Rattus norvegicus: one gene and its partners. Each later gene encodes a partner of the first gene's protein in a complex. Links are inferred from orthologs where the notes say so. Each region holds a gene or a part of one and is shown on either strand. Other genes may lie near its edges. The genes, in order: Brd8, Epc1 and Anp32e.

Region 1 (4,273 bases):
TGGTGCAACTACAGTTGGGATATTTCATGAATATATGCTAATAATATTCATATATATATATATATATATTTTTTTTTTTTTGGTTCTTTTTTTCGGAGCTGGGGACCGAACCCAGGGCCTTGTGCTTCCTAGGCAAGCGCTCTACCACTGAGCTAAATCCCCAGCCCCTTGGTTTTTCAAGATAGGGCTTCCCTGGGTGGTCGTGGCTGTCCTGGAACTCACTTGGTCAACCAGGCTGGGCTTGAACTAACAGAGATCCGCGCTATTTTCTGCCTCTGTCAGGAATTACTAGCCTTTGATCTCATACTACCTTGTATAAATAACTGTTAAGCTGAAGATACCATTTTCTGCTCCTAAGCCACAGAACTCCTTTACCTGTTTGTCCTCCAGAGAGGCCGAGATGACAGAGCAATCTGACAACAGGTCCTTTCGGACCACAGACCTCAGATCTGCAGCTGTGGACTCTAACACGGGGGAGTCTGCAACATCCTCATCAGAGAGTAAGCCCACTGGCGGAGAAAGGATCCCGTGAGACATGACAAGCAGGGTCAGTCTATGTCTAAAAAGAGACAAGAGTAGATGGGTAGAACATTAACGCACAAAAACTGCAAACTTAGGTTAAACAGTCCCCTGGTTAAAAAGCGACGTCCTTGCTTTGGTCGAGACTATACACCTTTACAGCCAAGGGGAAGAGAATGAGAACAACTAAATCAGCCCGAAGCTGCATTTCTGAAGGTGAATAGGCACGAAGAACAGAAGGCCACGCTCCACAGAGGCTGTCCAGGCCTGCCAATGCATGTGTGTTTCAGATCCCAAGGGTACTTTTCCAAAGGGTACTCACTCCAAAGACCACGAGAACTAGGAAATTATGAAAGACCTAGGAGCTTTCTGAGGACTACGATATGCAAGCAACAGCTGATAACCGGAGTTCCATCCCCAATTGCACTCTGATAACCGGAGTTCCATCCCAATTGCACTCACCTGAAGACAGCCTGCTTCGCTGCTTCTCTGATTCCCAGCTTCTACCCAGCTGAGACCCACGACTCCTGCTACGGAGAACACAACTCCGCCCACGAGGAACAGCTTTGTTCCTCATACAATGTTTTAAAATGCGCGCTGAGCTTATCCGACCAATCAGAAAGCGAAGGCTGAAGGAACCAATCAGCAAAAGGGAGTGAGCAGAGGCGACCGGAAGACCGTTTGCTTTCAATGTGGGTCCGGGTTACCAACTGTCACTTCCAAGGTGTTCGTTATTGGGTTCGTTTCACTTAGTTCTAAACCTAGACGTTTCATTTCGGAGGCTTCAGCTTGTCCTTTATTAGTTAAAAAGAAAATTTTTCCTAGAGGGATTTCGCGTCTATTAGGAAACAGACCCACCCACATTACCCACGAGGCACCGCGAACGGACTCATACAGTTTTTCCCAGAGTTCCTCGCGTCTGTCGCAATCGTTGAAGACGTCGGAGCCAAAATGGCGACCGGGACAGGCAGTGAGTATCGGAGCAGCTTTTATGGTCAAGGCCTTTGTAGAGTCCAGACTAGGCATTCCATTTCTCAGGCACGAAAGGAGCGGAAGGAGTGGGTTGTTAGAGAGCGCAAAACTCAGAGACCTGCCTTTCACGTCGCTTTCAGAACCACCACCTGGGGTTTTAACAGTGGTGGGAGGAATCGGAAGCTGGTGAAAAACAGCCTAGGAAGCCTTTGTGTGCTAGACGCTCTCTGGGGTAAAACATAAAGGTAGTATGAAGTGGCCAGCGACTCATTTGTTTATCTAACCAGGCTGTGAGAAGCAGTCGAAATGATTATCTGCTGATGTAGGCGTTTCCTGACACCGGGGGAAACTCATCTCGTGTATTTCAGCCATTTTTTCAGTTTCACCAACGAACTCTTTATACCCGACGATTGGGGGGAGGAGCTGAGATGTAAACAACTTTATGCAAAAAAGGAGGTGGGCAGTAGGAGCCGGTGGCCGATTGGAATCTTGGGAAATACGCCCGAGTTCAAACAATTTTAAAACTTTTTTTTTTTTAATGAGAACCTTATTTTAACGTAACACTGCCAGTTTCTTTTTTTTTTTTTTTTTTTCTTTTGGAAGCAGAACACCTTGAAGCTATGGCATTTAAACACAATGTTCTATAAATGTGTATTCAATGAAAGCACCCTGGTCAATAATGGTAATATTTCATTGGAATGGTGAAAACTCAAGATTTGGTGATTATAATTGATAATAGTAGTTCACATTGTTCGAACTAATTTAAGATTTATTTGAGACAGGGTTTTATTGTGTGACTGATCCTGGCTGACCTGGAACACACTATGCAGACCAGGCTAGCCTCACAGAAATCTGTCTGCTTCTGCTTCCTGAGAACCAGAATTACCACTCCACAATTTGCCTGGGGTGTTGGTTTATATCAGACTTTTAGCTGTTCTGGGGCTCAGAACTAGTTCGGAGGTTGTTTCTGAGCTTTCTCTATTTCCAGAGCACAAGCTGCTGAGTACTGGCCCGACAGAACCATGGTCCATCCGAGAGAAGTTGTGTTTAGCATCTTCTGTTATGAGGAGTGGGGATCAGAACTGGTAAGGAATCTAAGATATCTGCCTTTTTTTTTTTTTTGGTTCTTTTTTTTTTTTTTTTTTTTTTTTTTGGAGCTGGGGACCGAACCCAGGGCCTTGCGCGTCCTAGGCAAGCGCTCTACCACTGAGCTAAATCCCCAACCCCAGATATCTGCTTTCTTTTTTTTTTGGTTCTTTTTTTCGGAGCTGGGGACCGAACCCAGGGCCTTGCGCTTCCTAGGCAAGCGCTCTACCACTGAGTTAAATCCCCAACCCCAGATATCTGCTTTCTTGACCCGTTGGGCTGAGTATCTTTCTCTTTGTTCTTTTGTTTGTTTTTGTAACAGGTTTTCTCTGTGTGGCCATGGTTATCTTAGAATTCATCCTGTAGACCAGGCTAGCCTGAACTCAGAATGCCTGCCTCTGCCTTCTTAGTACTGGAGTTAAAGACATATGGGATCAGGCTAGCCAGGACTAAGTATTTTTCACCTCAGTGTATTCCTTAAGTTACCTTAAGCTTTATGTAGAGGTCAGCTTTACCAAAATACAAATCATAAAGCATAAAATGAGCCTACTGGCAGGGAAAATAGTGGTGGTTTCTTCTATTTTCACAAACTTGTGCAGCCGTCCCTGCAATTTAAGAAGTTTCTTTAATCTTTAAACTAAGTCTGGCTAGATAGATAGCTCAGAGTTTAAAAGCATTGGTTGCTTTTCCAGAGGTTGAGTTCAACTCCCAGAAACCACATGGTGTCTCACAACCATTTGTGATGGGATCTGACGCCCTCTTCTGGTGTGTGTGTGAAGATAGCAACAGTGTACTCATATACATAAAATAAGAAAGTCTCTACATTTACCACTCCCTCTCTTCCCTGAGCAATCTACTTTTCCTAGACTTGGCTATCCTTTAGGTATAATATGTAGTCTTCTGGGACCAGCTTTTTAGTCAGTTAACATACCACTCTTCAAGGTTTATTCACATGTAACATATGAATACTTTTCTAGTATTGGCCAGATGAAAACATGAACCAACCATCCCTTCCATACCCATGGAGACTGAGTCCCAGCACCCTTGAGGGGTAAAGATGGTGGTGGCTCAGTTCCTTTACATAAGATCCCATATTTGCATATAACCAACACCTGTCCTCCTGAATACTCCAGATTATCTCTGGATTATATTACCTAATGCAATGAAATAGCATGTGAATGGTTTAGGGCAGAGGAACCTGTGGGTGGTGACACTTTGGTAAACCTCTGTCTAGAAAAATATTTACATTATAATTCATAATGGTAGCAAAATTATAATTGTGAGGTAGCAACAAAAATAATGTTATGATTGGGGGTCACCACAGCATGAGAAACTGTAAAAGGGGACGAAGCTTTAGGAAGATTGAAGTCACTGGTTTAGGGCGTACAAGTACAGATAGCTTTTTGGTTTTGGACATGGCTGTAATGTCCCAGGCTGAGGAAATCCAAGAATGCACATCTCCTGGCTATGGACAGTCAACTACATATTCATTACCTGACATTTGGACTGCCACCTTGGGACAGAATTAGGTCTTCATATGGTAGCTCTAGGTCTTTTTCTCTCTTTCTTTCTTTCCTTCTTTCTTTCTTTCTTTTTTTTTTTTGAGGAACTGCCAAACCATTTTCTTTATTATTTCAAAAATTAAGTATGTTTATCTGTGTATTGGGGTTATTTGGGCATATCAGTGCAGAATCCC
Region 2 (3,649 bases), on another chromosome or scaffold:
GAAAGTGACGAAATGGTTTTACATTTAGCCAGTCAGTCTGCAGGAAGCCAAACTACTTCTAAAAGAAGATGATGAGTTAATTAGAGAAGTTTATGAATACTGGATTAAAAAGAGGAAAACCTGCCGGGGGCCATCACTTATCCCGTCGGTAAAACAGGAAAAACGAGATGGTTCTAGCACAAATGATCCTTATGTGGCTTTTAGAAGACGAACTGAGAAAATGCAAACTCGAAAAGTAAGTAAATTTTTTAATTTTATGAAAAATTATTAATACCTTAATTTTGTGACTTAATTCTGTGCTTTTACATAATATTCCTTAAAATTATACTAGAGGGGTTGCTCAGTGGTTCTGAGCTTTTGTTTCTCTATCAGAGGACAGTATTGCAATTCCTGTACCCATATCAGGCAGCTCATAAGCACTCGTGACTCCTCCTGCTCCAAAGATTCTAGTGCCCCACTTTGGACCTGGGGGCACTTGTACACACACACACACACACACACACACACACACACACACACACACACACACACACTAACTTTTTTAATTACACGAGAAATTAGTAAAAGTAGTTGACCTTTAGAGTTTTTAATGGAGGTCTTAATATATATTAATACTGATTCACTTAAAAACCAGGTCTGGAATTGGTATCTTGGTGGTCTGTGTTCCTCTCCGGTGTCTTTAAGCTGTAGCCCTACAGATCCATACACTTTTATGTGCCAAGAATGAGAAGTGCTTCCTGATGTTAAGCAAGTAGCTTTATATTTCCAGAATCGCAAAAACGATGAAGCCTCCTATGAGAAAATGCTTAAGCTGCGCCGGGATCTCAGCCGGGCTGTCACCATCCTGGAGATGATCAAGAGACGTGAGAAAAGTAAACGGGAGCTGCTGCACCTGACACTGGAGATTATGGAGAAGAGGTGAAGCAAGTTCTCAGTGCCAGGACCATCGTGTTTTCCTAATCCGAAGTTTCAGAAACATTTTCTTTAATAGAGACTGTGGGTTAAACTGTGAAATTTTATACACAATTCTGTCTTAATTTTCTTGCAAGGTGATTGGGCTCACTAACAGCACATCAGGTGTTTCTATTGAGAGATATTTTATTATTTTTGAGTTGTGTGGCTGTATGAGAGTGTGTGTGACTGCTAGTAGTTTATTTGTAGTGTTTTGTGGGTTTGTGGGGGATTTTTAGTACTAGAGACAAAACCCAGGGCCCTGCACAACCCAGGCAAACATTTCCCTGAGCTCCCTCAGCACCATGATACTCAGATGACCACTTAGTGCCATGCACATGACATGTACATAAAAGCTCGTTCTCAAGGCCCTGCTTCTCAGCTCCTCCCCCCCCCCAAAAAAAAACACACTTAAATTTCTTATGATTCTTTCATAAAAAAGAAAGTACTTTTGTAGCACAGACAGTCCTAATTGGCAAGGTGTTTTTGGCACTGCTTGAGGCATTTCAGCCCTGAGCCGAGCTAAGACTGGACGGCTCAGGCGTTAGCCCCATCAGTAGAGTGCGCCTGTCAAGCATGCAGCTCTGGGTTTGAGCCAGGTGAGCCAGGCATGGTGGCTCGTGCCTGCAGGAGGTGCTTCAGAGGTTCTCTTGTAAAGAACCTGGTTTGATGCTCAGTACCCTGTGACATCTAACGACTTTCTGTTAAGCTTAGGTCCAGGGGTCCAGTATCCTCTCTGGCCACATGGGCATGGCACACACATGGTGCACAGACATACAAGTCGGCAACGTACCCATATGCATTTAGGGCCACTGTTGAGTAGCACGTGCGTTGAAAGTCGTATGTTACCCCACCTACAGCAGGCACACACGGTACCCGAGGAGGTGGCTGTTGAGTGAGTGAGTGAGTTAGTTAGTTGGACTGTAGATCATTTCACAGTGTGTATGGAAGCATCTCATTGTACTCTGTGTATAGCTTAAAGTTCCCTTTGTAATTTCAGGTATAATTTAGGTGACTACAGTGGAGAGATCATGTCTGAGGTCATGGCACAGAGACAGCCAGTGAAGCCTACCTATGCCATCCCCATCATCCCGATTACTAACAGCAGCCAGTTCAAACACCAGGACGTCACGGATGCGAAGGAGTTCAAAGTTAACAAGGTTATTAGAGCTTTGTAACAGTAGATCCAGTAAACAGGGAAAACCATGAATTCCTACCGCAAGGGATTTCTGAACACTGAAAATAAGGGACACTAAAAATGGGGAGCTTTTCACGACAATTTAATTTCCCTTGCTTCCTTACAAGGGAAGGCTTTGCTCTCTGTCTGATAAAAAGAGGGGTTTGCTGAGAGGGGGTATGAAATGTTGGTGTGGTTAGTGGTATGGAGGCCTGGAGAGAGCATGAAGCCTTCCACCCAGTGTAACGTTCTGGGCCACATCTGTGTGTCAGTGTCAGGCGGGTCTTGTCAACGGCTGGTAACGTGGGCAGAAGTGGAAATACTTTGACAAGTTGATATGTCCTAATTTGTGAAGAGTAAAATTGGTGAGGGGGAAATAAAATTAGTAAGGAGAAAACCAGGGGAATAAGAGAGAGCCGGCAGTGTGCCTTTCTGATAAATGCACCTTAGCAGGGAAGGTTTTCATATACTTGTGACCTAACATGTATCATTTAACTCAGACTTAGCATTCCATTTCAATTGAGGAAATAATGTGATCTGCTAATCATTTATTATCTAACCTGTTCTGTTTAATATTTTGTGTCTGTGATTTTTTTTTTTTTTTATAATTTGGTGTATAATTTACCGTACCATTTGGAATGGTGGTTTCTGCAGCATAGACTTTTTCCCTATCAGAGCACTGACCAAGACTATTTCAAACATGTTGGTTTTGAAGTATTGAACTGTTGAACAGATAAATAGAAGTATTCTCTTTGGTAATCACAAATGGTGGCTATTAATCCCAGCAGAAGCTGTGCCTGGCAGATCTCTTGAGGTTGAGACACAGCCTGGTCTACATAGTGAGTTTCAGGCTAGCCAAGGCTACTCAGTGAAACACCTCTATCCAATTACCTCTGCCAAAAAAAAAAAAAAAAAAAAAAAAAATGCTAAAGGCCATGTTCCAAATACTTGTGTGCTCATAATTTCCAGTCCTGCATAGTACAGTTTTCCTTGTTTTTATATTGAAGTCTATTGTCCACCTGTCTGAAATATATGGCCTTACAAATCACTTCAAAGGTGTTACTTTGATTTTTATATTTTGGGATTTAACTCGGATTCTAATTGTACAACATTCATTGTTCGTCTGTATGTTCCAGAGACATGAGCCATGCATGTGGTTCTGGTTTACCTTAAATCCTTCTAAGTCAAGACAGAGTCATTAGTGGAATAGGCCTGCTGTTTTGAACATTTTCTTATTTAAATTTTCATTCAAACTGTTTTGTTGTCTGGCTGGAGAGCTGGGTGAGCAGTTAGGAGTGCCCATTGTTCCTGCAGAGGACCTGGGTGCAGTTGAGTTGCCAGCACCTACGTGAGATGGCATACAGTTCTGTAATTCCAGTTCCAGGGGGTCTGACAGTCTCTGGCTTTTGAAGACACCTGCACATACACATACACTTTTAAGTCTTTTAAGCAAATGTTTGTTTTGAACAGAGCAAATGTAGATTATTAGGGGAAACTGAGACTGACCCTCTGAGGGTAGGG
Region 3 (3,649 bases), on another chromosome or scaffold:
TTAAGTGTAAGACAGATGCTGGGGACACAGTGGTGACAAGTCAGTTTCCCCACGGGTTCTGATAGAGAGCTGCTGCCTGTATTTGGGGGATGGCCTTAGAACCCTAAAAGTGTGAAAAGTTGTTCTTTGGCTCCAAGTGTATGTTCTCACATCCTTCATTAAAACTGGAGAACACAGTGTTTAAGATCTTGATTGTAGCCTTGAACTTTACTTTTTCAGCAAAATCTTAAAAATTTGAAAAGTCTTGACTTGTTTAACTGTGAGATCACAAACCTGGAAGATTACAGAGAAAGTATTTTCGAACTGCTGCAACAAATCACATACTTGGACGGATTTGATCAGGAGGACAATGAAGCGCCCGACTCAGAGGAGGAGGAGGAGGACGAGGGTAAGGCTTCTATTTCTGTTTCTCATTCGTTTTGAGATAGGGTGTCTCTACAGAACGCTGGCTGTTCTGGAACTCACTATGTAGACCAGGCTGGCCCCAGACTTAGAGAACCACCTGCCTCTGCCCACTGTGTGCTGGGATCAAAGGTGTGCACCATGCCTGTCAACAAGCAGGCTTTGAAATGACCACAAAGTAAAACCAACTTCAGTGTGTATAATGTTTGAAAATCTATTTTGGAAAGGTCCTTTCCAGTGCCAGGATGGGGCCATCCTCACACGTGCTAGCTATGTGCTGACCTGGATCCCCAGGCCTAGGAAGGGCACTTCTTGGGTGACATGTAACAGTGCTGTAAATGGATGGGTTTGGGGCTTTTTGTTTTGTTTTATCGAGACAGGGTCTCTCTGCTGTCCTGGAACTCTGTAGATCAGGTTGGCCTCAAACTTAGAACCACCTGCCTGTCTCCCCAGTGCTGGGATTAAAGTGTGCACTGCTATTGCCTGGCCGGGATTTTTTTTTAAGCAGGGTAGGGGCACTTGGTGGCACTCGCCACAATTAGATTAAGGTGTTGGAATGATTTGGGCAAGAGTGAGGAGGGCCATGTACCAGGAAGACAGATTTGTCCAGATACTCGCTCACGTTTTACAATGTTTTTTCAAGATGGAGATGAGGATGAGGAAGATGAGGAAGAAGATGAAGCTGGTCCACCTGAAGGATACGAAGATGAGGATGAGGATGAGGATGAAGCTGGCTCAGAAGTAGGAGAGGGAGAAGAGGAGGTGGGCCTCTCATACTTAATGAAAGAAGAAATTCAGGTGAATGGAAACTTGCTATTCGCCCTGAAGACAGTTGGCACAGGGCTAAGTGCTGTGAGGAGTAGGTTGTGAGTCGTTTCCTGACGTGTGGATAAGCATCTGTCTTTTCTCTCCCTCCTCCTGGGTGTTCCATAATATGTCCAGATAGCTATAAACGCTTGGTTTTTTGTTTGTGTTTTTAGCTCAATTACAATTGTTGTTTAAAAACTCTCGGGGCAGGTGAGCCATAAGCCTCAGCAGCTCCTGGGAAGAGAGTGGAGGGAAGAAGGGGGAAAAAAAAGCCATTATGGTGCTAAAGCTGGCATTGAGGTTGGACAATGTCAGACCAGCGGTCACAGGGCAGGGAAGGGGTGTGGAAGCCCACGGAGTCAGAAAAGGTGTAATTGGGCTCTGGCCAGCATTCAGAAAGAATGAGAAAAAGGAAAAGTTGCCTCTTTTGACTTGGGTTTCAGAAAGGTGGGCAGAGTCAACCGAATCTCATGGCCACTGGTAGGAACTGTCATTGCCTGCTCTTTATCTCCTAAGTGTGTGAATTGACTCTGCCTTTAGTGTCACGGGATGCTGGAACATTTTGTGAATGTCTAAACATTTTCTGAATGTCTGAGCCCCTTCCTGCATTTGCAAGCTCATGGAGTTGCTTTAACAAGGGGATATCTATAAAACACCTAGTTCCTGGTTGATCCATTGCAGAGACCTGAGATTTCTTACCTTCAGTTATCTCTTTATGCTCCTGCAGTAGCTTTTCTTCCTTTTTTTAGTTAAAAAAAAAATTGTGTGTGCACCTGTTTGTGAATGTGGTGTGTGGATGCAGTTGCCTGTGGAAGCCAGAAGAGGGTGCTGTGGAGCTGCACTTACAGTGGGCACCACAGTGTTGGAAACTGAAGAGTCTTAACCACGGGCTTAGGTACCAACCACTACCTGCATTAGCTTTCTGAGCGGTCTCTACCTAGGACAGCTCTGAGCAGGGATGTCTTCCACTGTGCCCGGGTATGCAGAGACACTCGTTACCCTCCGCGGTGTGCTGTCATGTCTCTCTCTTGCCACTGACGCATACAGGCCTGCCCTTCATTCTCTGCTACCCTTAATCTTGATTAGGCTTTGTTACCTGGAGATGGTCTCGTAAAAACCTCTCTGCTTTTTATCGAGTGGTGAGTTCTTTACATGGGGGCTGTTAATCTAACAGCTAGTACATTGAGTGGGAAGTAGAATGAGTGATCCTTAACCCCTGGGAGTTTAGAGAAGTTACCTTCTCGTTATGTTAAAGTAAGTTTTATTTTCACAATTTGAAATACTTGTTTCTTTTAAACATCTCTCAATGCTAGGGATATAGCTCAGTGATAGTACACTTACCTGACATTTTTAAGATTTATTTTATGTGTATCAGTGAACGCTCACGTGTATGTCTGTGTACCATGAGTGTGATTGGTTCTTGAGTCTCCTAGAACTGGAGTTACAAATGGTAGTGAGCTGTTATGTGGGCATTGGGAACTGAACCTGGATTAGCCAGTTGAGCCATGTCTCCATCTCCTTCCAATAATCTTTTAAATTTGAAATAAATGCACAAGAATAAGGCATGAGGCTTCTTTGGATCTTTATGAGTCGTTAACTGCTGCACAGTAATGAAGAGAAACTGAAGCCTCTCTTTAGTTTACACCATCATACAGCGTGATAGTTCTTTGGATTTGATTCTTTGGATTTTCTGCCAGGGATATCCTCCCTGAGTGTAAATGGTAGGTGCTTTGAAGGTTTTGTTTTGAGAGGTGTGTAGGATATTGCAGGTTTTAATCTGCATCCCAGGCTGCACTGAGTTGGTGGTCTTCCTCCTGAGGGCCTCCCATCACTCTTGCCTTAAACGTTCCTTTCAGTGACCTGCGTTGATTGACATGTAGGTATATTGTTCTGCTGGATTTTTGGTGATACTAACTCAAAATGCCATGGCCGAGCCTAGGTCAGAAACCTCTTAAGTACACACAGCATTGAGTTTTGCAGGACGAGGAAGCCTTTCATTCCACATGGGACAGCTTAGATGCTCAAAATGAAGTCTTAGCCGGGGGTGGGGTAGCTCAGGACCATAATCCCAGGTGTCCCGGAGGCAAGGCAGTAGAATTGCAGGAGTTAGTGATAGCATAGGCGGCCTACTGTGCTGTAGGGTAGTCCAGGCTACAGAGGAACCTCGGTCAGAACAAACCAGGCAACTCCAGAGCTCTCGCTTTTAGGAGCTAAGTGCCAGTCGCGCTTCAGAGACCATTGCTGCTTACAGGTGAAAGGCAGAGATGGTAGGTTTGACTGCGTTGTACCTTCTCCTTAGGAGGGCTGCTGTTTATTATATAGTATGGTTATTTTGTCTGGATGTGTCTGTACTGCGTGTATGAATGGTGATTGCAGAGGCCAGAAGAGGAATAGGATCCCATAGAGCTGGAAGTACAGATGTGGGCCACAGTGTAACTGC

The links.
Region 2: Brd8 (region 1) and Epc1 share a complex: the UniProt entries of both Homo sapiens proteins name them as parts of the nuA4-related complex. The link is inferred for Rattus norvegicus from reciprocal best matches to the Homo sapiens genes BRD8 and EPC1.
Region 3: Brd8 (region 1) and Anp32e share a complex: the UniProt entries of both Homo sapiens proteins name them as parts of the SWR1-like complex. The link is inferred for Rattus norvegicus from reciprocal best matches to the Homo sapiens genes BRD8 and ANP32E.

What each region holds. Positions count from the first base shown.
Region 1 is NC_086036.1:26,501,186-26,505,458, reverse strand, and holds the start of Brd8 (bromodomain-containing protein 8), read left to right. Parts: upstream 1-1,452; 5' UTR 1,453-1,470; coding exon 1,471-1,489; intron 1,490-2,479; coding exon 2,480-2,576; intron 2,577-4,273. Other genes in the region: kinesin-like protein KIF20A, read right to left, coding at 376-537. UniProt on the Homo sapiens protein: May act as a coactivator during transcriptional activation by hormone-activated nuclear receptors (NR). Isoform 2 stimulates transcriptional activation by AR/DHTR, ESR1/NR3A1, RXRA/NR2B1 and THRB/ERBA2.
Region 2 is NC_086035.1:59,213,004-59,216,652, reverse strand, and holds part of Epc1 (enhancer of polycomb homolog 1), read left to right. Parts: intron 1-28; coding exon 29-235; intron 236-769; coding exon 770-918; intron 919-1,951; coding exon 1,952-2,111; intron 2,112-3,649. UniProt on the Homo sapiens protein: Component of the NuA4 histone acetyltransferase (HAT) complex, a multiprotein complex involved in transcriptional activation of select genes principally by acetylation of nucleosomal histones H4 and H2A.
Region 3 is NC_086020.1:186,168,001-186,171,649, forward strand, and holds part of Anp32e (acidic leucine-rich nuclear phosphoprotein 32 family member E), read left to right. Parts: intron 1-219; coding exon 220-388; intron 389-1,045; coding exon 1,046-1,200; intron 1,201-3,649. UniProt on the Homo sapiens protein: Histone chaperone that specifically mediates the genome-wide removal of histone H2A.Z/H2AZ1 from the nucleosome: removes H2A.Z/H2AZ1 from its normal sites of deposition, especially from enhancer and insulator regions.